4 linked regions of the Styela clava genome follow. The protein of the gene in region 1 purifies or fractionates together with the protein of each later gene. This does not show direct contact. Links are inferred from orthologs where the notes say so. Each region holds a gene or a part of one and is shown in the gene's direction. Other genes may lie near its edges.

Evidence for each region.
Region 2: the proteins of DNA-directed RNA polymerases I, II, and III subunit RPABC5 (region 1) and DNA-directed RNA polymerase III subunit RPC9-like purify together in Homo sapiens (affinity purification with mass spectrometry; 3 studies listed by BioGRID and IntAct, with this or other methods). This does not show direct contact. The link is inferred for Styela clava from reciprocal best matches to the Homo sapiens genes POLR2L and CRCP.
Region 3: the proteins of DNA-directed RNA polymerases I, II, and III subunit RPABC5 (region 1) and DNA-directed RNA polymerase III subunit RPC6-like purify together in Homo sapiens (co-immunoprecipitation; 3 studies listed by BioGRID and IntAct, with this or other methods). This does not show direct contact. The link is inferred for Styela clava from reciprocal best matches to the Homo sapiens genes POLR2L and POLR3F.
Region 4: the proteins of DNA-directed RNA polymerases I, II, and III subunit RPABC5 (region 1) and DNA-directed RNA polymerase III subunit RPC10-like purify together in Homo sapiens (affinity purification with mass spectrometry; 3 studies listed by BioGRID and IntAct, with this or other methods). This does not show direct contact. The link is inferred for Styela clava from reciprocal best matches to the Homo sapiens genes POLR2L and POLR3K.

Annotation. Positions count from the first base shown.
Region 1 is NC_135252.1:12,675,069-12,680,920, reverse strand, and holds DNA-directed RNA polymerases I, II, and III subunit RPABC5, read left to right. Parts: upstream 1-4,166; 5' UTR 4,167-4,231; coding exon 4,232-4,435; 3' UTR 4,436-4,899; downstream 4,900-5,852. Other genes in the region: transmembrane protein 256 homolog, read left to right, coding at 4,900-5,244; nucleoporin NUP35-like, read left to right, coding at 5,502-5,514. UniProt on the Homo sapiens protein: DNA-dependent RNA polymerase catalyzes the transcription of DNA into RNA using the four ribonucleoside triphosphates as substrates.
Region 2 is NC_135255.1:9,167,928-9,175,503, reverse strand, and holds DNA-directed RNA polymerase III subunit RPC9-like, read left to right. Parts: upstream 1-4,202; 5' UTR 4,203-4,262; coding exon 4,263-4,703; 3' UTR 4,704-4,805; intron 4,806-5,008; 3' UTR 5,009-6,479; downstream 6,480-7,576. UniProt on the Homo sapiens protein: DNA-dependent RNA polymerase catalyzes the transcription of DNA into RNA using the four ribonucleoside triphosphates as substrates.
Region 3 is NC_135251.1:26,464,124-26,472,786, forward strand, and holds the start of DNA-directed RNA polymerase III subunit RPC6-like, read left to right. Parts: upstream 1-4,864; 5' UTR 4,865-4,953; coding exon 4,954-5,006; intron 5,007-5,334; coding exon 5,335-5,452; intron 5,453-5,778; coding exon 5,779-5,846; intron 5,847-6,468; coding exon 6,469-6,649; intron 6,650-7,398; coding exon 7,399-7,563; intron 7,564-7,927; coding exon 7,928-8,017; intron 8,018-8,317; coding exon 8,318-8,488; intron 8,489-8,663. Other genes in the region: dnaJ homolog subfamily C member 8-like, read left to right, coding at 198-935; histone-lysine N-methyltransferase EZH2-like, read left to right, coding at 1,520-3,787. UniProt on the Homo sapiens protein: DNA-dependent RNA polymerase catalyzes the transcription of DNA into RNA using the four ribonucleoside triphosphates as substrates.
Region 4 is NC_135259.1:10,998,892-11,006,956, forward strand, and holds DNA-directed RNA polymerase III subunit RPC10-like, read left to right. Parts: upstream 1-4,542; 5' UTR 4,543-4,695; coding exon 4,696-4,760; intron 4,761-5,344; coding exon 5,345-5,439; intron 5,440-6,423; coding exon 6,424-6,590; 3' UTR 6,591-7,735; downstream 7,736-8,065. UniProt on the Homo sapiens protein: Core component of RNA polymerase III (Pol III) which synthesizes small non-coding RNAs using the four ribonucleoside triphosphates as substrates. Can mediate Pol I proofreading of the nascent RNA transcript.

The DNA of each region.
Region 1 (5,852 bases):
CCCGAGCCCGACTGATTAACTGGATTTGCAGGTCCGACCCGGGCCCGTGGGTATTAAACCTGAACCGAGTCCGACTAATTAACTGGATTTGCAGACACTTTTCTCGCTCAAGACAGATTTTCGAGCGTGGTCGTAAACATACCGCGTTTTTGAACTTTATTCGTTAGTTTTCAGTTGTGTTTCGGAAATATAAATCAGATAATTCAAATATCACTTTGTCTTCTTAGGAGTTTTAATTTAATTGCAGCAATAAAAAATTAGTGTAGAAAAAGCTGTCATAGACTTGGCTTAAATTCTTTGCAGGTACTTTTGAAAACAAAATGTTGTATGCAATGAATTATAATGATGGTTTGAAACAAATACCCCATTTTACTCGAAACCACTCTCAAAATAAAATAAGTCCCGAAAATTTTGCAATGCTAAAGTATAGGAAGAATATTTTCGAGGGTCAAAAGTCGGGGAAAAGTCCGTTACAGCTTCTTCTCTGTTTCATTCAAATTATTTCTTTTATAACAAGTATTCCTTAGTATCCACACATAGTTAGTCAGATAACTGAGGCCTACACGCGCCACAATATCGCATTGAGAGAATACCTTGACGCAACATTCAAGCGTAACGAGAGAACTGTGTAACATAAATAAACAAAGACGAAAAAAGCGTGAGCGAACTATATTAAGTGACCTATGTGTTACAGGCAAAAATTTCACTGGGGTGAATTAACTGTCATTATGGGCGACCTGTTTATGATGTGCTATTTAAATTACTTAATGGACTAAAGAAGGAGGGCGCAGCGCGCCGGGCGAATTCCGACATTCTTCCGGCGCAACGACCGTGGTGCATCCATCAAACCCTAGTATATATTTACGATCAAACTCATAATCAAACATCCACTTTTTATACTCAAATCTTTTCCTTACATTTCCCCTTGCGGGTAGCGTAGCGACCGTCCCCCGGGTGTCCTATTTATTAGTGTAGAATACAGTGCAATAAGGCTTGGTCTCATCGTTAGTCTCATGAATTTGTTAGTGTGCAGCAAGACTCCTAGATCACTTAGGATTGTTATCTCTACTCTTGCTACAGCATCCTTGCAATATATGCATACGGATCCACCGGCACAAAAGCATAGAAGAAGGATAAGTAGTCTTGCAGAAACCAAATAATCAGCGTATATTATTATTTGATATTATTAAGTTAACTATGAAAATACGGTAACTGGGGCTGAGAGTGAAATTAACCGGTTATCCACAGCGTGGCGCTAAAGATTATATAAACTGTTTCTTTAAAAAGTGGGATGAAGGAGTAACGGTACGGGTATTGATTTAATAGTGCAAATTTAATAGTGCAATCCTCCCATAATTGTTGGTATTATTGAAAGCTCAGATATGCAGGTAGATGTGTCTGTTCCGATGTAGGTATTTACATGCATTGGGGCAGTGTCATTTGGGTGCATATCTGAGTAGAGTATGAGTCCCCTCCCCGATATTCGTTCACGTCACATTTACGATCACAACCTTTCAGCACCCTGTTTTGGCCAAACTAGAAATAGTGATAGATTCCCGCTCGGTATACATAATCCATACCTACTCGCCTACCTACAGCTCGCTTCGCGTCAAATTTCGTCCAAAAATGAGATTTTTCTGGGTCAAAACGCCACTAGTGGTCGAAAATGACCAATTTTAGAGCACGAAACCTCTTTTTCTATTTCAGGAAGAACGGAAGCATATGTGGAGGTTAAAATAAAGATAGAGCCGTGAAAATTGGAGGGGAGGGAGAAATTTCATCCACTTCTTCCTTTTAGTGTTCAGCTTTTTAGTGACTTCAACCACATCAACACCCGTCGGGAGAAATTTCATCCACTTCTTCCTTTTAGTGTTCAGCTTTTTAGTGACTTCAACCACATCAACACCCGTCGGGAGAAATTTCATCCACTTCTTCCTTTTAGTGTTCAGCTTTTTAGTGACTTCAACCACATCAACACCCGTCGGGAGAAATTTCATCCACTTCTTCCTTTTAGTGTTCAGCTTTTTAGTGACTTCAACCACATAAACACCAGTCGGAAGAAATTTCATCTACTTCTTCCTTTCAGTGTTCAGCTTTTTAGTGACTTCAACTATCTCATTATTCGTCGGAAGAAATTTCATCCACTTCTTTCTTTTAGTGTTCAGCTTTTTAGTGACTTCAACCACCTCATTATTCGTCGGAAGAAATTTCATCCACTTCTTCCTTTTAGTGTTCAGCTTTTTAGTGGTTTCAGCCACCTCGGAAGAAATTTCTTCCACTGCCTCGTTTTAGTGTTCAGCCTTTTAGTGTTTTCCAATTTTTCACCTTCGGGAACACCTCAACTTCCGTTTTTCCTCCACCTCATCCGTTTCTTCTTTCAGCCTTTCAGTGTTGTCCCAAATATACGTTGTTGATCGCAATTGCCCCACTGACATGGTGAAAGTAGAGGCGGTATAAAGGGTTTTCCGGTCACGGTACCGGCATGATTTTAAGGGAAGTGATTGAGATGGATTTGTAGAGTATGTTAATGATAAAATGAAGTGTTTTCTGTGAATACAAAGCATATTAGAAGCATTTTGGTAAAAATGATCGCATAACGGGGAGGGGACTCTATGTGTATTAAATTTAAAATTTTTTGTTAAAAAAAAAAGAAACGGGTACCGTATTAATTACCAAATATACAGATATATGAGTAATTTCAATACTTTTTCAGGGCAAACATCGGAATATACAGATTTTGCATGATTGAATTTACATATTTTTTTGTAAAAACAAAAACTATTGTGACTGGCGAATAGGTGTCGAATTTTGCAAGTGACTGATTTTTCTCGATAAAAGTTGGTATTTTTTCACCATATTTTTCAAAGATTTTTTTTGTCAGAACTTGCTATACTTTTCTTTTTTAATGAAATTCTTTATTCTATGACAATTTTATCATTTTTAATAATACAAAGAGTAATACTATTTGACAATCTACGGTCGATCAACTCGCCTTTTACATTTATTTGACATTGAATATTAGGGGTAAAATATCGCGGATCAATTGAAGAATTCTCACTGATAGGACGTGTCAAATTCAGCAAGTGCATAAATAAACTGAGTCAAATAAACTTATACTACACTTTTTGATTTTCGCAATGGGGCTTGCCTGTTTTTTTCCACTGTGATTTTGTTTTTGTAACATACAGACATAGTTTCAATCCTAGCGTTTTATAGGTTGTTTCACTATTGCAGCCTGTGTTCAAATTCTAATTTTGAATGATGCAAAGAGACTCACTTGCTGTATTTGAATTGAATTAACATTTTAATGTCAGTTTCTACGACTGGAAGTCTGTATGAATTCTAATTCAGTCTTATAATTGAATTACTCAAATTTAGATTCTGATCTTATTTTTTTGGTCGAGCAACAAATATTGTACATTTGAAAAAAAAATGAAAATGAGATAAATTTAGCGAAAAACATACAATATTTTAACTGCATTGGACTAGTGGCTGCGAAAGACTATCAGTGTAAGAGAGAGGCTACCATTTTTCATCATACTATTTTAAAAGCCAATTATAAATTGTTTTATGGTACTAAGTTGTTAGAATTCTTGTTTTTGTTGTTAAATACCGGACTAGTTCTGTAGTTGCTTTAAAATTTGTATGCATTTATCTGTATTCAATTTGTTTTTTAAAGTAAACATTAAGCAATGTATGTATGTTTACTCGTCTCGTAAAAGCAATATAGCCTAAAATGATTAGTAATTATAAATACTGAAGACTGGATGTATGCACTTTTGCTTTTGATATGTATAAATTCTGAAATTGTAATACGGTAAATCAAATTTGTATAATATGGACTTTATACAGACAGTTGTGCAAGGAGGGTGGGTGTGTGTGATACCAGGGTGGAGTATACAAAACTGTTTACAAAATTAGGTTTTTAGAAAAAGCCTGAAACTTGACAAGTGCCTGGTGTTTTCATTAAGTATTCAGAATTGCCATGTTTTACTATTTAAATATCAATTATACATTATTGAATTGAAAGGAATATTGCGATATAGAAGGTGCAATTTTATTCAATGTCTAATAAAACTCAAACCCCAATAAACTACGAAAAAAATGAAAAAATAAATCTTAAAAGTGATTGAATTCGCAAGTGCCTGTTTTTAGAGAGACCTGTTTTTGAATTTTGTCCTATGATTTATTCAGATTAACTTTATAACTACAGATCCATTTAAAAGTAGGCATGATTATTCCTATAAGATGTTTCACATGTGGAAAAGTAGTTGGAAATAAATGGGAAGCTTATCTCGGACTTTTGCAAGCTGAATACACTGAAGGAGATGCGTTAGATGCCCTTGGACTGAAACGATATTGTTGTCGTCGCATGTTACTGGCTCATGTTGATCTTATCGAAAAACTTTTGAATTACGCTCCACTTGAAAAATAATTTGAATTAGCTCAACTTCATAAAAATTGTAAAGTATGGACAAAGATGTTTGAATTTTGGAATACGAAACTGTGAAATTATAGGTCAGCTTTCAATCCGGACAATGGTGAATCATTGCAATATCTGAATATTCTACTGTTTATATGAAACCTGAGGTATCAGATCAATGTAACTGATGTCTAAATGATGTTAGAAACCTATTGTATAATATTTGTTGCAGAGCATAAAACTGGCATGATCATATTCGTTATTTTTTAATATACGGCAGCATTGTATGTTATAACTTTTCATTTGTGAAGTTATTGCGAATTGTAAGCACCTATTTGTCATATTTTGTCTCAAGATAAGTGTGAGTTTCTGTGTGCTTATTTCATATGGACTTTTATTTACAGAAACTGTGTCATAATGTGTTCCACTAAATTGTGAATAATCTGGGAGGTTGAAAAAAGTGTTTTTTTCCTTAGATGGCTTCTTATTATGGTCGATTGTTTGTTAGAATTGCTGGAATATCTGGTGCTTCTGCAGTAGGATTAGCAGCATACGGAGCACATGGTATACATAAAGAAGATGAGCACAGAAAACTTATATTTGATAATGCAAATCGACAACATTTCTTTCATACTCTTGCTCTTCTGGCAGTGAGCCGATGCAAATATCCATTACTAACTGGAGCGATACTGACTACAGGAATGCTTGTGTTTTGTGGAAGTTGTTATTACCAATCAATAACAGGAGACAGTTCAATTCGACCCATAACACCATACGGAGGAATTTTGTTAATCGTGGGATGGCTGTCTATGGTGCTCTGACATTGGCTGTGTTACAAACACTATCTGTTATATTTTGCAGAATTTACCTTTTTAACATGTAAAATGCAACATATTTTGGGATTCAATCCATTTATGACAGTCGATCATTATTAATAATGTTTGAAATTAAATCTTTTCAATCATATGTTGTCCTAATTACTTTTTGTCTTGTATTTGTATTGTAGGTTTTATTAAATAATTTTTCTTTATATAAAAGCTGACAGGGTAGACATTGACTTTTATTAAGTATAAATAACATGGACAATCAAGGTAAAGCTATCTTTTTTTTTCAAATGCAATTTGTATCATTCTAAATAGTATAGAGAAACATTCACAATGAATAATAATAACATGTTATTATATTTTATCCCTTTAATTTTTTTTTTAAAAAGTATGACGGTAATCGCCGCCCATTGCTGAGCTTTTTGATTGTATGCACTATGCATATTATTAAAATAGTGTACGTTAAAGAGTACTCCTGTAGTTAGGGCTAGGCCCTAATTTTATTCAGATTTCCCATATTTCAGTTCTATTACGAGATTGGGGACTGTCTGTGTTAGCCAAGTGAATATACCCCCTTCACATTGGTTTCAGTCCGTTTACACAAC
Region 2 (7,576 bases), on another chromosome or scaffold:
TGCTACTTCATTATGCCACGGTGTGGCTCAACGGGCTAAGCGTTAGGAATACGCTCGCCACCGCACCTCTAATTACTCTGCGTGGGTTCGCAGGTTCGAATCCCATGCAGGGATGGTTATGTGCGAGATGATTGCTGGACTCCTCGCCGTCGTTGGGTGGTTCACGTAACCGCTGGTTGGTTTCCTTGGCTTCCTCCACCACCAAGTCCATGCTTTCGAAAACAAACAATATAACTAATCCCATTCCCGACTTGGAATGGTAACCGGACGAGAGGCCGTGGTTCGCCATATGGATAAGCCGTCTTATCGGCTTTCCTCTCCCCGGGATAAATATGTAAATCCTATCCTATCCTAAAAAGTATATCTTCATTAATAGTTTCTATTGGGATTTCAATAAGAGTTTTTCGCTTCCGTTCCTTAATGTTATCAAAAGTAATTAGATGGCTTCTCATTTTTTCCAAATTTTCTATTTTATAGGCTCGGCATTTGAATTTTATTTCCCTTTTCCTGTTTTCCCTATTTCCCGTTCTTGCAACGTTTTCATTCGCTAGTAGAGTTCTGGGTTCGATATGTTTGACTCCATATATATATATATGAGTTCCGATTCGCCATTTTCATAACCATTATGTTTATATACCTCGCACTTTGCATCGTGGCTATAAACGTTTTATAACCTTACGCTACGATAGAATGAAGATATACATTGATGAGCGCGCTATTAACACCTCCATCCCTGTGTTATAAATAGGTCATATTTCTAAAATGCTTCAAAAAACAAATAAACTGAAATGGATGTTGAGTATTGGCAACGAAATCGTTCAAATCTCACAGGAGATATAATTAAATTAGATATTTGTGTTACTGTACTTCATCAGTCATTTATTTGAAAATACTGTCAATGGTTACGCTATATATGTAACGTAAAAACTATCATAAAAATATTACCATGTCAGTAACTAAATATGTATATATAGGTAAAATGAAGTGAAATGTCCATCAAAACATATAATATTGCTTGTTATTGTTGGATTCCAATGCCAAATATCCCAACCAACGTTGCCATAAACTGGAAACGTAAAAAAATGGGATAGGGCGAGACCACTTATTCACTCTTGCAATTAATACAAAATAGCTTTTTAATATTTGTGAGATTTCGGCTAGATGTATTTTTGAGCCAAGTCAGAATTGGCAATCTTGTAGCCTAATGTGCTACATATATTTGAGATGGTTGTCAATTTGGCTCTATGGCCGTTGCAAACATCCGAAGGTATTCAAATCTGATAGCCCTATGTTCTTTAGATATTTCGAATTTCACTGTCCATTTTATTCATTCGTTTACACTTTTCTTTTCAAATTTACTCTGATACATATCTGTTATATTCCGGTACCGTTATAGAGAGTATATGTTTGTCCCAAAGGATTCATAGTTTATTATAAACACCACACCATCACAACACTATTTTTTTAGTTGGTCAACACCCAAAAGCACCTCTTTCAACAATTTTTATCAGTCATTTAATGTTCGAACAAAGTCTTCATTCAAGCGACCTGTTTATTCTAATCACAATTTTCCTTTACCATTTGTAGTGTTATTCCTACAATCACTTCATTTTCTGGTTACATGAAGACCCTTAAAATAAACTCATTGTTGTCACTGTTATTCACAAATTTATTTATTTGAAGTTATTGCCCGATTCTGTATCGTGTATTTTTGTTTTATTGTGTTATTCGACTGTTTTTGGTGGACGGGCGCGTATTTTCACGTGTTTAACTTTTCTTTAAGTTATGCCCGCCCTCCAGGTCCTCTTTGTTTTGTGTTTGTTCGTTTGTTTTTGTTTTATAACAGAGCGACCGAAATAAAATTGATTGATTGATTGATTGATTTAGTGTATGGTTCAAATGTGTAAGTATGAAAATAATATGTAATCCAGTCGTGTTTTCATCCTCATATTCACATGAACTTTTTTGATTGCGCTTTGAACCTTTTTTTAAAATTTTCACTAGATATTGCTGGTTTTACATGTGTTGTTCATGCTTTATCAGTGTGTTAATGTCGCTTCTATTATGTTTGAGTCAAAATATGTCCAGCTGATTGTCATGTCCTCGCAACCCGGTTACCACACTCACCATAAACCGCATTCATCAATCAATTTTATTTTGGTCGCTCTGCTATAAAACAAAACAACACTAAACGGACAAACAAAATGCAGGATCTGGAAGCCGAGCATATATCAAGAAAGAGTTAAAAACGTAGAGTTTCGCGCCCGTCCACCAAAAGCGTTAAAGCACACAACGAAATAACCACACACGATACAAAATCGGGCAATTATTCTGAAAACAATTTAATGTGAAATAACTGATCAAAAGAAGAACAGGGCAACCTTTTTTACAAACTACAAAAATTTTGTGGCCGTGGTTATCATATGTGCAATATTTTTGATGGAGAAATAATGTTACATAAAAATTTGTTGTATTTATGTAGGGAACGCGCACGCGCACAAATAATTGTAAACAAAGACTAAAACGGTAGACTCTGAAAATTCATTTCGGGCGTCTGAACTTTCCACGATGTTTATACACTATATACATAAAATGTCCAGTACCTATTCAGATAAGCCACTTTTCGCAAACCAGAGATCAAATCAAAATTAGGGTCGACCTTTGCCCTTGTTAGGCCAACCGCCCAGCTCAACGTAAATGAATCCCACAAATAAAGCCTCTTCCGGGGGATTCGTCACAGCTTATACTTTATGGCGGAATTCTTGAATTTGTGTAATGTTTCTTAGTTCTTCAGCTGTCAATCTGTAGACCAATCAATACTTTTGATTCCCATTTGTTTCAATTGCCAATTCCAAATCCGCAGGAAGACAATTCAGAGAAGGGTTACCAGGGACAATAGAATCATTCATGAATCAGATTCACAAATTTAAATGATGAAATATACCAATATTCTACCTATATTAATGACGAGAAATGAATTTTGCATATAATAGAGTTATTTTTTCGTCCGCCCTCTCCTCATGAGTAAACATGAAGATCCTGTTTATTTTATCTACTTTCTTATTGTAGACTCATTGCACTACGATTGTTTTTCAGATGAGTCTGGTCTTTGGCAAGTCTTTGGTTGTTCATTTGGTTAGAAAAATATAGATGCCCAGTTGTATCAGTGTGCAGTAAACATCAATTACTAGTGTACTAGTAGTTCAGGCAGTCAGGACATCTTTGTGAGAACATCAATATGCTCAGACGCTGACGGACAACTCACCAGAGACATCTCGCCTATTTCACTGGTAGCGATGGTGACTTCTGACTTCTCCGTCTACAAGCTGACAAGCCTATACCTGTACCGGTATACCGCCAATACCGGTACCGGTACCGGTACAGTCTATATGAGTGTAATTCAGAAAAGTGAGTAATCAATAAATTAAATTCCAGTACGGTATTCAGTATTCCAGTACCGGTATTCAGGCATTTGTAACCAAAAAATGGAACAATGAAAAATGGAATTCGTCAGTTCGCATACCGGTACGGTACCGTATCCCTCAGACAGTCCAGCAGGCAGCAGTCAGACAGTCCTGCAGTCATAGGCCTCATTCTGTCATTCCAGTTTCTTTGTCAGGCACATTGACTGCTGGAACATGTATATCTCAGTATATGGTCTTGGTTTTCTTCGGCATAAAAGAAATCTCAACTCACAGACTCAGCAACTCGAAGACTGAAACCTTGTGGTGAGCTCAGAAACTGGCTTACAACTAATATTACAGTTTGAGTTTACACTAACAGACTAAGTAGGTCAGCAGTTAGGTGAGTTGCAGTTGACGATATAGAAATTTTTAATACCTTTTGAATATGTGGACATTTTGTATTTGGAGAATTAATTATTATGTGTTACACAGGGTAACCCCAAGAAAACAACTTATTTCAAGAGTATTTTTTCCCAATCTGCTATTACTGTACTGTACAATAATTTTTAAGCCTTTAACATTACTCTTTAATATCCATTTGTCTCACAGTATTCACTCAGATCAATGCAAATTTCGTGCAAAATCTATTTCCAGAACTCCTGGCCATTGTTGTCAGAATGTTTATTGGGAGTTAGATAGCAATCTGAATACAGCATTGATTGCTTGCAACTCAATCTATGAAGAATGATTTCTCGACTTGAGTGAGGTTACCGAAATTGAACTGAATTCTTGTTTATTAATTTCAGATTTATAGTATTACTATTAAATAATATATTATATCAATAAAAGTGTAAAAAAATGGAAGTAATATCAGATAAAGTTCCAATGATGTTATCCAATTATGAAATGCATGGATTATTGACAACATATTCTGCAGAAATGAAAACAGGGAAACATAAAACTGGACAAAGAGATCAAAATTTATCAACTATCACATATGAAGTTCTTAAATATCTGGAGGGAACACCATGTATTAATCAAAATGAACAGTGCATTAAAGATGCATGCCTTGCATTGGCACCATATAATTTGTCAAAAGCAGAAAAACTTCAAATAATGAATTTACGACCTACGACCCCTGTTGAAATTTCGCTAATTGTGGAAGAAAATGAAGAAAGAATTTCTGAAGAACAAATAGACGAGATTCTAGAAATCGTAAAAAAACTTCCTCCCGGTCCCGGATCTGAGGACAAGGAGAATGAAGCAGAAGAAATGGAGGAGGAAGTGGGAAATGAATGATTCTCACGTTAATCAACAGCATTAGGTGGTTGATGGATCTTTCGTCATGAAATATGCTGATGTTAGACATTGACTGAATTGTAAAGGCTGAGGGTAAAGAAGGTAAAGCATTGTGGTTTCAAATGCATATTTGATTCACTTGCTTATTTGAATGAAGTTAATTTATAGTAGGTTTATGAAATTCTATCAATATGGATTGAGCAGAACTTGGAATTGGAGATAAAAAAACAAAACAAATTGAAACATTGGCTTGATGATTAATTGACTGCTTTGAAAAATTATTTGAGACAGCTTTACTTTTTCAGAGATTGTGCTTTTCTTGAAAATCACCATTTCAAAGAAAAAACTTTACTGTAAAGGCAGTTCTTTACAAAACTGAACTGGTTGGATGCATGAAAAGAAGAACACATGGAGATTTCAGATTGTTCTATTGTATAAACAAGGACATTTATATTTAACATCTTTTTAATAAATGAAATTACTTTTTATAGCAATGAAGTAATATTCTTTAATGTTGGACTCAAAGTGGACCAATGGATCGTTTCGTTATTATGTTTTTGTCAAAATTTTTCTTCCTATCATTATGAAAAAAAATATTTTTTCTCTTCAATCACTAGACAAATTGCTTTAAAATTTTCAGTGGTTAGAGATTGTATTTTTTCCAGAAGGCTATACCGTACTATTTGTTGTTATTTGTTTGATATTTTAACTAAAATGCGGTGTAATCTTTAATTAGGGGAACTCATTTTTATGCCATCGTGATGACTGTCTTCCACAATTGTATGACATTGTGACGGTACTGTAACAGATTGCATACTTGTACTACAGCGTTTTTAACTTTGTGTTCTTATATTTGAGCATCGCTCTCTTGTTGTTAATAGTTTTCGAAAATGCTTTAAGTTCTCAGAATACAAGTACCGATAAATAACAAATTCTACTATGCTTCATTTCACTAAGTTTATTTAATATTTCAAGTTACTTATTAAAGTCTGAACTGATACGTATTATAAATCATATATTAATAAAATTAATATAACAAACTTCCATGTATGTGTGGTGTGGTTGAAAAATAAAATAACAGGGAACAGAGAAAATGAAAAGTTTGTTACCATGATGGCATCATTTTGAACACATCATCTGTTGTATATTTCACATCAGATTGCTTTGGGTTAGCCTAGGTTTTGAAGTATTACCATATTAATATGTAATGTTTGGAGGAGGCCAGTTTATTATTATGTCACCATTGCATGTCTTCAGAACAAATCATTTTTTTGCTGACAAATAATTTTCGGTTTTTAATTACAGAACTGATTTGTATGGTGGTGTCATTTTGTTGTTGTTGCCAGCTTATTTTTTTTTCTTTGTCATTGTTTGGATTTTGAAATTTATTTCTGCATGATATTTTTTTGTTGATTTGTTTTATTTTGTTTTGATTTAGGTAGATACCATGATATACCTACTTTTCGGTGTGTATATATGGTATCCCAAAAATATGAATGATTGTGTGGTTTGTAAGTTGTAATTCTTGTTCTTTAAAGTTCATGATTGGAAGAAAAAAATGTTCCCGTTATTTTGGACTATTTTGCTGCATAATTATTGTATGAGCTAGCAATGAAGTTTTTTCAATTTTTGATTTTATTTCACTGTATTTGTATAGCAGTATGAAAGGCAATATCAACTATGATTTGTATGATGAATTAAAATCCTTTTAAGTAATAATCTTCTGAATTCAAATTATGAAGCATGATTGCTGATGTTTTTATTTTTATTTTAAAGCATGCTGTATATACTAGTTGGTGTGTTTTGTTTGAGCTTAGCTTTTTGTACTTTGGATGAATCAATGAATAATTGCAAAACACTTTGTGGACATGGATTTCAATAGCGGGTGAGTTTTTTTTGTTCAATTTATTACATTTGGATGAAATTGAAATTGCTATATGTTAATTTTGGCAAGTTTTACTAATTGGCTATGTGTCAACCTAGGAATATGTTGAAATTTTTTTTCTCTGTGGGGGGGGGGGGGAATGGCCCTCAAGGCCACCCTCCCCCAAAATAAAAATTTCGACATATGTATAATGCACGGTGAGACACAAATTCATACGCCTTTTCAAACACCATATTGCTATATTCTTAAATGATTCACGGAAAAACAAACGTTTCTTTGCTTACTATCAATTATTGTTTCACCATGATTTAACAAAATATTGTCATGTTACGCTATGATGCTTTGATCTTGTATAATTTGCATGTTTTTTGGTTTAATCATTGATATGCTTGAAGTATTGACTTCAAGCTCTTTTGCACGATTTTTCTGGTTGCTAGGACGTGATGCTTTATTCATAGTGTGTACGGGGTCTGCTGTTTCCTAATTGTTATTGGCTGTGCCGATTCTTGAAGTAAAGTTTGTCAATGATAGCATCTTGGTAAATTTTAATATTTAGTCATGAAAAAGAAAGATGTCGGGATAGCTCAGTCAAATGCAAACACTCCCTTCCATCTGCTTATGAACTCTAACATTTGCACAGTTCTTCTCGGTTCAAAAATCACTTGCCGTAATTCAGGCCAATCTTTAGTGCCAAAGCCCGCAGTATCTCCTGGTTAAAGTACAGATAAAAAACATGCCAGTAGCTGTCACTACAGAGTTGACAAAATATCTTTGTAACTTGACCATATCGATTGAATTTGGAAAATCGCGCAAACGTTCGCCAAATATGTTTTATGCGTTATATATAAGTGGGCAAGCTTTTTGAAGAGTTTATTCAGTCTTCTATTTTTGCGCGAAAAGAGTTTAATGCAATTGTTGAGTTATGCCGCGGCATTCGGAGTCTTGTCGGTTTCATTTTTAGGCTTCTGATTTTATTTTCGTCATATTT
Region 3 (8,663 bases), on another chromosome or scaffold:
GAATTCAACATGATGCATGTACTGCAGTGTGACAGTACTATCAACTATATTTTGGTGTAATTCCTAACTTCATCTGGACCATGCTTTTTGTTTGAGATTTATTTGATTCTGTGATTGGTTAAGTCAGCAAGTTAAAACCTAATGATTCAATTACATTTTCAGCTAATGTTGTAAATAGGTGAATTTCAATCTTAATCATGGCTTCAACCAGTTCTGATCCAAAGGCTGAAGATGCATTCAATACATATATGTCCGAAGTGAAAAGAATTGAAGCCGCGGATTCAGTACTAACACCAAAACAACAGATTGATCGTTTAAATCGACCTGGATCAACTTATTTTAATCTTAATCCATATGATGTTCTACAAGTTACGCCAGAAACTCCTCTACCAGATGTTAAGAAGAAATTCAGACGCTTATCTATACTTGTTCATCCAGATAAAAATTTAGAACAAAAAGAGCTCGCACAAAAGTCATTTGATGCTGTCAAAAAAGCATGGGAATTACTAAATGATGATAAAGAAAGAGAAAAATGTTTAGGTGTAGTTTCAGATGCAAAAGTACGACTTGAAACGAAATTGAAAGAAAAAAGGAAGAAATTGAAAAAGGAAGGAAAACCTGCTGAAATACCAGAAGATGATCCGCATGTTTATGAATCAGAACTACACAAAGAAACTTGTAAACTTTTTGCTGACATGGCGATTGTTCGTAAAGAGATGGAAACTCGAGAAATGAATGAAAGAAAAAGGAAAGCGCAACAAGAAGCTGAGGAAAAAGAAAAAGCGAAGCAGCAGAAAGAATGGGATAAAAACTTTGAGGAAAGTCGTCAAGGTAGAGTTTCCAGTTGGCAAAATTTTAAGAAGGATAAAAAGAAGAAGAAAAAAGACACGAGGGCACCTTTCAAACCTCCGAAAGTCAGAATGGAAGAAAGATGATTTTCCTCTCATTATAGTTATATTCATCAAACTTATATCTCTAAAACTTCAATTGTCTTTTGTTTCACATCATATCGAAATAATCTTGAAAATTAGAATTGATTGTGAAACCTGTGTACTAGGCTATAGTATTATGCATTGACATAGAATCATCATTTTGTTTCTCCCAATTGGGGTCAAACTTTACAGTAGTGAATGAGTCCCCACTAATTTTAAATTATGTTTCATTTAGAATATTATTATTGAAACAGTTTTTATATGGGTATGGTTTTCAATAATCTGTCAATGTTATTAAGATGGAATTTATGGATTGTTCTATGTATTTGTAATAAGAATTTGGTGAATTGAAAAGCATATATTTTTCAGCAAAAAAAAATCAAATTGGAAAATTTAAATAGTACTGCATTGTGACACAAATTGTTTTTCACCAAGATTATATTAGTAGTAATTTTCCGTTTATTTTGTTATTTTGTCTCACTTGACAGGTATGCGGCTATATTAGCTTATTTTTTAAAGTTTATTGAACTATGCTTCTTTGTTATTTTCAGCTTGTGTCACTGCTTAGTTAATTAGTTAAGAACAAAATGGATTGGAAAAAAATTGTACGAAGTGAATACATCACGCTTAGATCGGCGAAGAGATATCAACGTAGTGACAAAATTAAACAAGCTTTCATAAATAACAGAGTAAAATTGAACGAAAGAATTTCAAAATTGGAACAAACAAATGAAAAGTACAAAGTACAACAACCAGATTCAGAACCGGTTTTTACAAATAGACCATTCCTTCGATGCTGTACAGTGAAAAGTAGTGTTCATGCTTTCCGTGATCAGTCTGTTCCTTTATGTACACTGCAAGCTGTGCCAAGTCTTCCTGTTTATTATACATGGGTCCCAGTTCAACAGGATTTCATGGTTGAAGATGAAACAATTCTACATAACATTCCATATATGGGGGACGAAGCTTTGGATAAAGATGGAAGTTTTTTAGAAGAGTTGATTATGAATTATGATGGTAAAGTGCATGGGGACAGAGAAGGTGGTTTTCTAAGTGATGAATTATTTGTTGATCTTGTTGATGCACTGAATAAATATAATATCAGTCGTAAACGTCGTCCTTTGAGAAGTCGTTACAGAACTGATAGTGCTGCAAATGAAGCATCACAAGACAACACTACAAGCGAATCAAGCAATGAAGATGCAGATCCAGCGAAAGAGAAGGAAACTGCAGATGCGGAGCAAAATAAAAATTCAGACTCGTCATCTGCTTCTGGTACAAACACATTTCCTGCAGATGAAATATTTGATGCTATTGCTGATTATTTTCCTGATAAAGGTTCAGGTGAAGATTTAAAAGATAAATATAAGGAGCTGACTGAATTGATGGATCCCGATGCACAACCTCCTGAATGCACTCCCAATATCGATGGTGCAAATGCTAAATCAGTACAAAGGGAGCAAGCATTGCATTCTTTTCATGAATTATTTTGCAGACGCTGTTACAAATATGATTGTTTTCAACACAGTCATCTTTATAGACCACCTATTAAAACGAGTAAACGAAAAACTCAAGATGTTAGAACACCTACAGAACCTTGTGGTGCTGATTGTTTCCAACACCTTGAAGGTGCACAAGATTATCGTGAAATATCAGAGAAACCTCACAGACATTTGCAGAGAGGATTGTCAAAGAAGAAATCTCAGCTTAAAGGCGAAGGAAGAAGTGGGAGCAGCAGTGGAAGTCGACCTAGTACCCCTGCCCCAAGTGAGAGTGAGATGGATACAGATGCGACAGATACTGAAAAACTACCTACAACACAATCAATGACATCATTTCTTGAACTCGTTCCTGAAAATTTGACTAAAACTATATGGGATGGAGCAGAGTCAACTCTGTATCGGGTATTAAGAACAAATTACCCAAACAATTTTTGTTCGATTTCGAAACTTATTAAAACTAAATCTTGCCAAGAAGTTTATGCCTTTGCATTACTTGAAGCTACACGCTCGCAACATGACAGCGGTTCACAACCTCATCCACATGAACATGATTTGAGAGATTCAGCTTCTCCCAGAAAGAAAAAAAGGAAGCACAGACTTTGGTCTCTCCATGCTAGAAGAATACAACTGAAACGAGATTCGTCCAGCAATCATGTTTACAATTACCAGCCTTGTAATCATCCAGGACAGCCTTGCGACAGCAATTGTCAATGCATTATGGTTGGAAATTTTTGCGAAAAGTATTGCCAATGTCCGTCTGATTGTCATAATCGCTTTCCAGGATGTCGTTGTAAAGCTCAATGTAACACCAAGCAATGCCCATGTTATCTTGCAGTGAGAGAGTGTGATCCAGACCTCTGCTCTCTTTGTGGTGCTGACCAGCTCGGCACAAATGCAAGTAAATGTTCTTGTAAGAATGTTTCAATACAAAGAGGTCTCCATAAGCATCTACTTTTGGCTCCATCTGATGTTGCCGGATGGGGAATTTATATAAAAGAAGATGTGCCCAACAAAAATGAATTCATTTCTGAATATTGCGGAGAAATTATATCTCAGGATGAGGCAGATCGTCGTGGAAAAGTTTACGATAAATACATGTGTAGCTTTCTGTTTAATCTCAATAATGATTTTGTTGTGGATGCCACTCGTAAAGGAAACAAAATTAGATTTGCCAATCATTCCGTTCATCCTAATTGCTATGCTAAAGTGATGATGGTAAATGGTGATCATCGTATTGGAATTTTCTCAAATTGCCCGATACAAGCAGGAGAGGAATTGTTCTTCGACTACAGCTACAGTCAATCTGATGCAGTAAAATATGTTGGAATAGAAAGAGAGATGGAAGTTTCCTAAAACTATTTGAGAATCATTATAATAGGCTACTACTGTAAATAAGTATAACAGTTAGGAGTTTTGTAGACTATTCTGATTGCTCACACTGCGATTCACTTATTGAATCAGGCAATTGAAAGCACTAGTATGGAATGTTTTCTTTACACATATTTATTTTGTTTGACGTGGTCCCTATTTTGCCAATGCATTATTGCGTTGGCTTTTCGTTTTATAAATTGAGGATGCAGTAGACATCCCCAGGGGCACAGTCAGGATTTTGCAGCGTAGAGTGGGGGGGGGGGGGGTGGGGCGGGGTCGGAGTCAGAAATACCCATGTAACGCATGAGGAAACAATTGATGCGATTATGCTACTCATTAAAATTGTGGTTAACGTATCTTGCGGTTGCATCGTTTCACATAGAAATAACATTGTATTTGAACTCTAAAATACCATGGCAATCAGTGGATATAAAAATGTGATATGAATTCTACAATTAGATTTTACTTTGGATTCATATTTTTGCGACCACGCAAATTTGTTATTGCTGATAATAAAATCACAAAATCTGTGATAAAATTGCAGTACAGTTTATGTTAGTACAATAAAAAATTGATTGAACATCAGTATCAGCATAATCCAAAAAAAATTGAGTGTGGCCCTGACGATAATTTATTAACTGATGGCATGCATAATTGACTGTTTTATCTTCAGTGACTATGGTATAGTTCCAACTTATTATAATGTGTTCCATGGCAACTCAGGCCCCGAAAACCCCCTGGCTGCACCACTGGACTCTGCTGTCTCTTTTGCATCATTTGCTGCTGAAACTTATTCATAATTTCTTTATTTAGCTACTGCATTTTTTTGTTGTTGTGCCAGACATTATAATCTATATGTTGTTTGAATCTGCTTGTTGTGATACCTTGTGACTGTCATCATATTTTTAAATCATAAAATCTAAATGTTTGACCAATACTGTTGTCTATAAAATAAATGCACATCACTTGATTCCAGAAACCTTTATGATCATCATAGAAATCCAGCATAATCAGATTTATTGGTTTATTGAAACATCTGTTCTATATCAATTGCAATGGTTTTGTACTTTTTAGTTTAATATCTGACATGGACTGAACTACATAGGCTATGTATGTATAAAATAATTTTATAGACAACTTCATTCATCATGGCAATGGAAGTCACTATGCAAGAGGGTAGTGGACTGCCATTGGAAGACAGGTAGTACTTCTTTATTTAGAGTTATTGTCAACAGGATCTCTGAAATTCATAGTATGGTAGTGGTATGTTTATACCAGTTCAAAGAACATATTGAGTTGATTTCATTGAGCAGACTATGATCTTAAATCACAACAACATTCTAATGCATTGTTGTTGGCGGCTTGACACCATTATTCACTCAAGAATAAGTGACAGATACTGCTAATTATTCTGCAAATAATGCGGTTTTCGATAATTTTCGTCATTCCTGATTATAACCATATATTTCTTCTGTGCATGGTTATCAATGATTAATAAAATTTGAGTTGAGTGTTATATTTCTGTCTAGAATATTGGCAATGTGTGCTGAATATCCTAAAGGAATCGGTGATGAGTTCATTCAGAAGAAAGAACCTCAAATTGACTCAAAGGAAAGAGTTGCTGCAATCAACAAGTTGCTTACAATGGTTGGTTTGTTTTAAATATAACATTGTAGTATTCAGTATAATTTTTGTTAATATAAAATTTCATTAATTATTTGTGAATGTGTCGGTCAATTCGATTGCGATTTTGCACCATGGTGTTGCTAACATAATAGTAACAGCATGTTTAATAAAATTTCGCTATATTAATTTCCTGCCCAGCTTTGGTCATGTTTATTGTAATGAGATCAATCTAGAAGCAGGTGGACAATGATTTTCTTGCCAAGATTCTAACTACACTAAAACAAAATTCGCCCACCTGTTGGAGATTTCTTAAATATATCTTAAATGTTCTGTACTTGGGTTTTCAGGGAAAGATAGAACTTCTGAAAGGAACTTCTGGATTGATATACAGATTGAAATGTACAACCGGAGCAAGGTATCTAGAGTGTTGGATTGTAATGAAAATTATTCTGCATCCACATTGTGCTTGGTTTTGGATCATATATGTTTTGTTAACTTTTATGACATGATTTCCCCATTTGCGTGGTTTGTGACGAAACATGGGTCTAGAGTTCATATAGTCACCCATTATACTAACATTATACACAAGTTCAATCTATTTGCTTTGTATGACATATATGTATTACCATAGTATCAAACAGCTGGAAAAGAGGAATTGACAAGAATCATTTTGTTGTCGAATAGTGGAATTTTGTCATAAAAATCTGTTATTGTGTAAAACTGGCCAATTTTGATTGCGATTTTGCACCATGGTGTTGCTATCATAATGGTTACAGCATGTTTAATAAAATTTCGCTATATTGATTTCCTGCCCAGCTTTGGTCACGTTTATTGTAATGAGATCAATCTAGAAGCAGGTGGACAATAGCCTTTTCACTTTTTTGGCAAGATTCTGAATAAACTAAAAGTAAATTCGCCACAGACGATGGCCCCTAGTCAAAAGGATCAAAGAGTCCTTTTTTGAAAATATGACATTAGCTACTTTGGATTTACTGCCATGGCATAATATTAATGGGAGACATTTCTACTAATTACAGCCAAATCAAAGGAATTGACAATCAAGATAAACTTGTGTATCAAGTTATAGAAAGTGCTGGTAATAAAGGAATATGGATTCGAGATATTCGACACAGATGTAATTTAATGTTGACGGAAGTTAACAAAATATTGAAGAATTTAGAAAACAGGAAATTGATCAAAGCTGTCAAATCTGTCACGGTATTTTCATTGCAGTCTTGTATTTTTGTTGAGACGTCCTAATACTGCAATCTGTGACTATTCTTATTCCAGGTTGTATCTGTCATAGCAAACTTATTTGAATGGTGGAATTTTGTAATAAAAATCTGGTATCGTGTAAAACTTGTCAATTTTGGCTGCGATTTTGCACCATGGTGTTGCTATCTAAATGGTTACAGCATGTTTAATAAAATATCGCTATATTAATTTCCTGCCCAGCTTTGGTCACGTTTATTGTAACGAGATCAATCTAGAAGCAGGTGAACAACAATATTTTTACTGAAACTAAATTATCTCTAGTCGATAACTGATAACCAAGGTCTGTCATGTTGCCAGTGTGCTTCTGATTATGAAATCTGTGAGTGGATTTTGGACTCTATGCCAGTTATTTACAGCTTTCTCTAGCTAGCATCTAAGAAAGTGATTTTAAAACATTCCCATAAAGAAACCTGGTCCAGTGGTCTGGTAACTGGAGGCTGTAGATCGTGGTATATTTGAGTGTCTTCGTCTGTATTTCCTATAAAGATAGATTTGAAAATACGATCCATCCTGATTGTTGACTTGTTTACATATTCAACTCATGACTAGTACAAGCGACTAATTCTGCTTTCAGTTGGTAGGATTGTTATGGGATTCTTCAATAAACATTTTTATTTTTTATTATGTCCTAAATTTTTATTTTAATAAATATGTATTTCAAACAGTAGTAATTTCATTCAATTTTTATTCAGGCTTCTAAAAAGAAAGTATACATGCTTTTCAATCTTGAACCTGATAGTTCAATAACTGGTGGAGCATGGTATTCTGGACAAGATTTTGAATCCGAATTCGTTGATGTTTTGAATCAACAATGTTACAAATTTCTTCAACAAAAAGAGGAGAGCGCTGCAAGTGAGGTTTGGGACCACTTCATATTATTCGTACACTGAATAACTAGGCCTATCTTATGGTGGTACTATATTTCTGCAGTGTACATTTTTGTTATTTGTCTTGTACTCAATACCTTGTGAATGTCATATGTTATATGGACATATATTTTGGAAAGGTTTGGAGTAAGAAAATTTCAAAAATTAATGAAGGGTAAAATTACTGCATTTGCCAGTTATTTAAATATTGCATCTGGTGTACTATCTGCAACCCATGCTCGGTGTAGTCAAATCAACGGTAACACTTTCATGGATATTTACTTTGATAAATTCCTCCTTTCAAGCGAACGAATGCTTTAGTGATATTCTATTCTTACTACTTTTGTTGTTATAGACTGCTATTAGCCCAAATGCAAGACAAGCTGCTTCTTATGCATCTTCTGAAGAAGTTTTAAATTTTATTTCAAACTTGGGAATCAGCAAGGTATGTTCATGTCATATCCATACATAATATTTATAATTTTGGTTGATCATTTGAAATGTAGTTTGAACTAGGGTTGTTTTAAACTAGTAACAAATAATTTTATGAGAGGTTGAAACAGCCTATTTTCATAATGCTTCCAGCTTAATTATTCACAATAATATGATTTTTTTCGATTTTTTTCCCAAAAATATTTCTCATAGTATTTGAGATTTGGATCGCGATACAATAATAAATATGATTTTGTAATATTAATAGTTTTTAATAATTGAATGTGGACAAAAAATAATCTTTCTTTTTCAGGTCAAGTTGTCAGTTGAAGATATTGAAACAATATTGAACACCTTGATTTATGATAGTAAGGTAGAAATGATGGTTGTAGGAACTAAAGATGGAACAAACAAATTATACAAAGCTGTACATTCTCTTGTTGAAGCAACTGACATGACAAGAGCCCCGTGTGCAGTTTGTCCTGTAAGATACTTTGAATTGTTTCTTTAAAACTTCCGTTCACAGCCACGTGTATCAATTTTATTAAATATGATCATATTCTGGATACTGCTTACAGGAACAAAATTGTTAATCATACGTTTTTTTGAACAATTATACAAACTAACTCTTTAAACAGGGAGCATAGCAAGGTCACAGG
Region 4 (8,065 bases), on another chromosome or scaffold:
GCTGTTTTTTTCAAGTGTGGGTCATAGACGGTCCGTGTTAAAATGCCATTTTACTTTATTGACTCATGCTTGATCATGCATGAATAGATATATAATGCACAATAAAGTTAAATTTTTATCGGTATGATGAATTTTTAGAAAATTATTTGCGTGACTATGGTACGAAAAAATATGGTGCTTTGTTTTTATATATGAAGAGTAACACTATTGCATTTGAAACCAAAGTTACAGAACTTTTACAGTACTTAACATTATTTTTATCTACGAGTCATTGAAAAATATGTGTACTTGTTATTTTATCTAATTATCATGCACACTCAAGGCATATTGTTGATATTAAGCAGAGTAGTAAGTAGTTCATATTATCAAATTTGCATTTTTCTGTCATGAAATTTTTTAAAATCGAAACCGTATGAGAGCATTCTATGTTACAGCTGAGATCTATCTAGCTGATAATACACTATTTTTGGTATGGTACAAGCATGATATGAAGATGTTACTGATAATGTTTACAATAAAAAGTTTAATTTTTTTTTTTTTTGTTTCAATTTTTACTTTGCATATTACTGATACTTAAAATTTTACTGATTTCGATATGCTAACAAATCATGTATGCTTTTTTATTTTGCTAATATTATTATTAAGTCTAGTACTGATAATAATATAATACTTTTTTTTCTATCAATTAAGTCATTTTTTAGCATTTTTGGCTTTTTCTATTTGTAGTAATATTACATCGCTTTCTTTCATCTGTTCCATTTAACGACCAAAATTGCGCAATTGCATTCCGATTGGTTGGGAAATTGATGTAATCAATGAAAGAGTGATATACAAACAACTTGGCTTTCTTACCATGTTAAGAATTGTGCACCATTCAATTATAGTCCACCACTCGCACCTAATGCACTAGTACATTTTAGATTTTTGGAATAACAAGTGTTCAATTGAATCAAACAAAAAAGTGTTTAGGTTCGACTTATAATTTTCAATTTTGTGAACAGGATTAGTCTTTTTTGGACGCTTGCATTGTCCTAGACACCATTCCACATTTGTATTTTGTTTGGTATGTTTATGACTAAGACAAGTCCCCTTCCATTTATCTCATAAAACAACCAAAAGGTATAAGAATAAATGCATTCAGTTCAGATTTTAGTCTAGTTTTTAGCGTGTATTCGGTTATTAAATGACAACATGACCTAGGACATTTGTTTGCAAAATGATCATATTCTTTTTTTTTTGTAAACATTGATACATTATATTTTATGGTCAAGGCATGACATGATATAAACATACTTTATAATTCAAACACATAAAGGCCATCAAGCTCATTAGAAGATTTTTCCAGTCAAGTCTAAAAGTCTTTGATTGGATGTGCATTTTCATCAATTTTGGACTGTTTTTATAATTTTTTTTTGGTGTATTTTTAGTATTAGTTTGGTTACTGGACTTGAATTGTTACTGTTAGGCAAAATACAGAGAATAAATTTTTGTCCTATTCTGATGAACAGAACAGCAAAGTGTTCTGTCCTATCTATGAAATATTTCGTATACATTATACGCTCTTGATTACTTAAACATTTTATATTTCTCAAATTTTTTTTGGTTGGACAGTATTGAATTGATTAAAAACTGTTTTCCATATTGTATCACAAACTACGAAAGTTTATTTATATAATCAATATTTGTTGAATATGTGGCATTATGGGTTAATTCAGACTTAATAAAACTATATCTACTATTGTCTATTCAGTTTTATTCCAAAAATAAGAGAAAAAATTATTTTAGTATCAAAAAAATATATATCATAAATCAAACGAAATTTTTGTCATGACGTGTGGTATTTCATTGCTCCTTTTTCAATATATCATTTTTTTACTTCTGCCTATTCTAATGAATTTTCATGAATTGCTTAGCTTATTTCTGTAATATATATCAACTAAATATACTAATTATGATATAAATCAATGAATTATCTCCTTGTGTTATTTCAACAAAAGGAATCTTACAACCATCAAATTTGACATGACTGTATTGAAAATGTATTCAAATTTGCTGGGGGATGTTACCCAATGTAGTGTTCCCTCTGTGAGATTGCCCTATTTCAGAAGTGGTCATACGGTATCGATATATTGTTATCCAAACTTGTTATGGTAAAGAAATTATGATTGGTTATATCCATCATCTGTGGTCTTTTACCAGTTATGTCCAATTTTGATGGTGTCTATATCTTTTGTCGAAATAGCCATTTCAAAATTATTTTTTTATGCCATGTTAAAAAATCAGAATTCTGTAATTTTTATCTATGTAACATTGCCAATTTTATCATCATCGATACACATTTTAAAATAGTACAAAAGTTTTGCAACATGGTACAAATACGAACGTTGTCTATTTTCATTTTGTTGTTCTGAGATATTTAAGGTGAATGGAACTCTTTCTCACCCGTTATCAGCAAACTGGTGTGGCGTATTCTGCTGAGCGTTAGGAATACACTCGCCACAGCACCTCTGATTACCCTGCATCGGTTCGCAAGTTCGAATCCTGTGGGGATAATTATGTGGGAGGGTACGCCGTGGGGTGGGTGGTCCACCTAACAACCCTAACCGACATGGATTGGTAACTGGACTAGAGGTGCACTGATACCGATATTTCAAAAAGCCAATAGTCTGATACCGGAACCAGGTAGTTATTACTATTAAGTGTGAATGGCAGACTGGTTAAAACGATGGTGTGTGAGCATTATTCATAATGCACAATATTTCAGTTCGAAAAATAGGTATTCGGATGCATTGTGCACTGACGCGAGTAATCTCGGTGTTCAATTAGAAAACTGGTAGGTTTGGCTACTATTGATGGTAGCATGAATAAATGTTTACTCATCCTATAAAACTGATACATCGAGTTGCGTGCGTTGGATTCTGTGCCAATATAACATCTTATTTCGCATTTTACACATTGAAAAATCCACTAATATTGATTGATATATTTCTACTTAATTTGCATGTAATATTGAAAATGTCATTGTAAAACTTTGGCAGCGAAAATAGCCAAATTAGTTGAGCTAGTTTGGTTGATAAATAGCTAAAACAGGTCGAATTCCTATTCCCTTTTCTACTTGTGTGGGTGTGAACGAGCATAGCCAGAGTTAACGAATTACCGCGGACATGATCCCTACACGCAAAAAAATAATAATTTCAACATCCGTATTACAACTAATTTTAAGACATTTTGAATCGGATTAAAAAGCTGAATATATCGAAAATATCGGTCTACATTTAGCCGATACCGATACATCTCTAAACTGGACGAGGCCGAGGGCATCGATTTCCGTAACAATGACCAATCAGCAAAAAGTCAACGATGACGTAACAGTTGAAATTTGTGACCGCATCTCTGATTACTCTGCGTGGGTTCGAATCCCGTGAGGATGAAGGGATAGTTTTGTGCGAGAGGATTGCTGGGCTTCTCGCCGCCGTGTGGTGGTTCACGTACCGTAAAATCGGGTAACTTTGGATGGAATTATCAATCGTTTATATCTCGGCTGAATTGCGATTTTAAAATAGCAACGACTAAAATATATACATCAAAAGTTTTCTGTGGATCTTAAATTCATGGCGTCAACCACTGATAATTTAATTAATTATAATAAAAATCACAATTAACGAAAAACATTTTCATTCGATTTGATGATTTCAAATTTCTCCATTTGGAACGGCAACATAGTTTAAAATAGAAAAAATCGTGAGAAGTCAAGAAATACTGCTTAAATATAAAAAAATATATATAACCAGCGAAAAATAACAACAATCATTGTTGCAAGTGAGTTCAGGTTAATGAACCCTAACGAAAGTAATTTAATTTAAAGTTACCTATATAGACCATTCAGTTAACCATGAATAGACCTTATTCATTAAAATCCCATCCTACGCGCAAATAGAAAAGTGATGTAAACAAAACAATTTCACATTAACTCCTAAGCGTACAAGAGCTATCAAAACAATATCGGCTATGATCGGGGAATATTTGGATCTAAAGTTACGATAAGAGAAAATACCACGAGACATTTTAGTATGAAAACAACTTGAAAGTGCCGCACTGGAAAGTTTAAGGTCGATAGATAGATAATGATTTATTTCCGATACAAGTACATAATACAATAAGCATGAGCAAATAACAATAAGCATCCTTATCCTTATCCTTATCCTCGTCCTTATCATGGCGACCGGGATCGAACATCTAGCATTTACGCAACGACGTAAAGTGTGTTTGGTCTTTTTAATCACGCACTTTATATGATGTATAAGTCTAATATTTTTTTTCGAAAAATTCAATTTTAGGTGGGATCCATTTTCTCAAAAGAAATACAGTATTATTGAAAATAAGAATATTCCGCGTGGGAACCGATTGTCAAACCTCAAAATGATTTTCCGATGCCACAAAAAAATTGTCACATAATCATCATAATGCTGTAGCACACCGGCTGTACGGTATGTTAATCGTTGGGCTGTACTGGAGCTGTGAAACAAATGCTTTAATTTTTATTTTTTTGAATTCCCACTACTGTACTACCTCATTCACTTTACAGACATTTCAATTTCAACATTTGCTTTAACCTTGTAAAACATATTTACAATAGGCATGTTCTGATCTAACTATCTGATTCAACTTTGCTATTAGGGTTCTCATCATTTGGCAATGTTGTTGTTCTGCCCTACTTGCGGGAATTTGTTAACAGTCGAGGAGGGGACTAGATGTTACAGGTACTGCACTTTATCAATAGATTTCTAATTATATTTTGAAATCCACATTTTTGCATTTATTCCTATTACTGTATTACAACTACTGATAGGTAACTCAGTAACTTTTGGATGCTGGAATTATAGCTTGTCGATTAAAAATACTGAAATAGAATTTTTTTGCTTCTATTGGTTTACTGACCTTTCAATTGAATTATTCATATTCTGTACTGGAATGTCACAATTTTGGATATAATTTGAGACTTGAAGCAAAAATGTGATGTTTTGAAATGTTGTTATTAAGTTGAGTTCACATCATACCAAGTTATTGGCAGTATTGTGTTTTGAATCTGATCTAATACCAGGGATGGCTAAAACCGAACATAATTCGCTTTACAGAAAACTTTTTGATATGATATTTGCCAGTATGAAATATAATAATTTGGATAAAAAGGAATGACGTAATTTTTGGATGACGTAGTCAGGTGGGGGTTAGAAATGACATATGCGAAAATAGTTATGCCATGCCAACTGGATATACTTGGCGGTGTTCAGTGAACCAGCCCTCTCGTGCTGTTTGCATTTTCACAATATTTTTTTGGTTTCAGGTTTGCTTGCCCAACTTGCCCATTCATTCATAATATTAATAGAAGAATAAGCGCAAGGAAATATCCAAAGTTAAAGGAGGTGGATGATGTGTTAGGTAAGTGTACCAACTACTAATGTAAAAATTTCTTATGATTATTTCGAAGTTCACTAAAAGTCCTAGAGTGTATGCGTAATAGGGTAAGAAACTTCATATCAATCCGAAGTGAATAATCATATGTGGTATCCTATCCATAGCTCAAGCCAGTTTTGTAAACAGCTAATCAATTAACCATATTTGATATAGTGATCTGAAATGTGTTGGGTATCTATTAATACAGTGGCCGTGATTGCTTTGTTTGAACATATTTGTAATGCATTTTTTCCAGAGATTGGAATCATTCAATAGTGAATATTTATGTATTTCATCTTCGCTAATAACCTCATTATGTAGATAGGTATGAATGTCTATATCTGTAGACCAAACGTAATCTCACAAAATTTTTTATGAGATCACACTAGTTCTCATGGTGTCTTTTTCAATATAATGTCTTTTGTCAGATTTGTCTCTAAAATTTCCAAGTGTCTTTTTTAAAGTATTAATATTTTTGAGATGGGTTTTATTACCATTCATATACTTAGTGATTCTGAATATTAGAGTTTGAAAGATTAATCAGATTCATTTTATGATGTTAGTCCCAAAGTTATTCGAATCCAACGTAAGCGGGGAAAGTATTTACATGAGATAGGTCTTCTAGACACCACGCTGCCCGTGGGTGGTTCATGTAACCACTGGTCAGTCATGGCCTCCTTGCACCATCATGGCCATGCATCTGAAACATCTGGTAACTTAGCTAGCCAATCCCATACCCGACAAACTGATAATCAAATCAGAGGTCGTGGTACGCCATTTTATTAATCAATCATCCACTTTCCTTTCCTCTCCCTTCGGATAAATATGAAATTCCCATCCTGTGTACTCACAAATAATACTTTTGAATCCCCTTTATTTTGCAGCTTTTCATTCGGTTTTCGATGTTGCAAATCTCATTGTATATTTTTTATTTTAAATTCAGTCATTCACATCTCTTTGGTTTTCCAGGTGGATCTGCTGCATGGGAGAATGTTGATTCAACAGAAGAGACTTGTCCAAAATGTGAACACAAAAGGGCATTCTTCATGCAAATTCAAACTCGATCAGCAGATGAGCCAATGACAACTTTTTATAAATGTTGTAAGATTGAATGTGGTCATCGTTGGAGGGACTGATTTGGTCAATGTAGCACAAAACGATATGGATCATCTTGAGTCGGGAGGGAATGATATTAGAGCAGAAATTGGAAAATGATTACTAAGTGGATGTCAATGTGTGAAAATAAGAATCTGAATTCTTCACAATGCTCAAATTCATTAATAAGTTACAAGCTTTTTATAATACACCTTCATGCATCACGAAACTTGTATTAGAGTAGAAGGATTCACAGTTTCCATACTGTAAGGTTTCCAGTTTGGTATGGACACTACTACCAGCTTGGGTGAGGTTCTGATTGAAAAATTCTCAAATATCATCTTGAATCTCTCTATCACTTTTTGTAATGAAAGTCCGCAATTAGTAATAAAAACAGATAGTTACTTCATTCAGATAACATAGAACGCAACTTTCGTAATTAATATTTTTTATATATATTAGAGACCAAAATCATAAGTGCTAAGGGCCCACAAAAGGTGTGACATGGCCCTAGCGATAACAACCTGCTATTCTGCTGATACAAACATGCGTGGTAAGGTTTTCAATTTTATCTTGTTTTGATTATGATTTATATACGATCGATCGTGGTAAATCGTCAAATTTGATCTGTTATTGATTCCTTTCCATTGCAGTCGATTGGTTGTTTTCAAGATATGTAATAGAATCCCAAGGATATGCATTTATTTTAGTGGAATAGAAAACTGATTGACCATACCTATCATTGATTACCTTACATTTCATCAGAAAAAGATGGCGTGTGCCCTCTACGCAGTTTCAGAATGAATATAAAGGTACATCATCATACGCACAATTTGCTGCATATCATCTGTAGTGCTTGCGATAACATATTTTATCTGGTCCGTGTAGTCTGGTTGTCCATCAGCCCTAAACAGCTATGACAGTCACTGTACCGAAAGTTGTACCCTAATTCAGGTGGTGTTAAGTTGACGCATGTTATTTAGTAACGTTTTTATGTGAAATGTTTGGCTGTGGTACCTGATACATTACATAATTGACTTATAGCACTAGATATTTCAATTGATGTTTCAATATAATCAAGAAGAATGAATCATTGTCACAGGACCTAAAATATCCATGACAGTCCTTGTACCGTCACGGTACCCCAATACAGGTACTGATAAGTCACCCATATGATTTTTGGAGAATTGTCTGCGTGTCCATACATTTGAGAATTGCTCTCTTGTGTTGTTCTTGTTCATTGACACGTTTTGAAGAAATCGCTTTTCTCTTTGAATACTGGACCGATTGCTTTGAAATTTTCAGTGGTTTAAAGATGGAATTATTTTCCAGAAGGCTATTACTTTTATTTTTTGCTATGATCTAATCTAAATTATGTGACGCTACGTGTCCACATATTTGAGCATAGCTCGCTTGTTCAATTTCAGATAACATGTCATAGATAATAACCAGCTTCATTATTATTATATATATATATATATGTAGGACTCTAAAATCGTAAGTGCTTAAGGCCTCT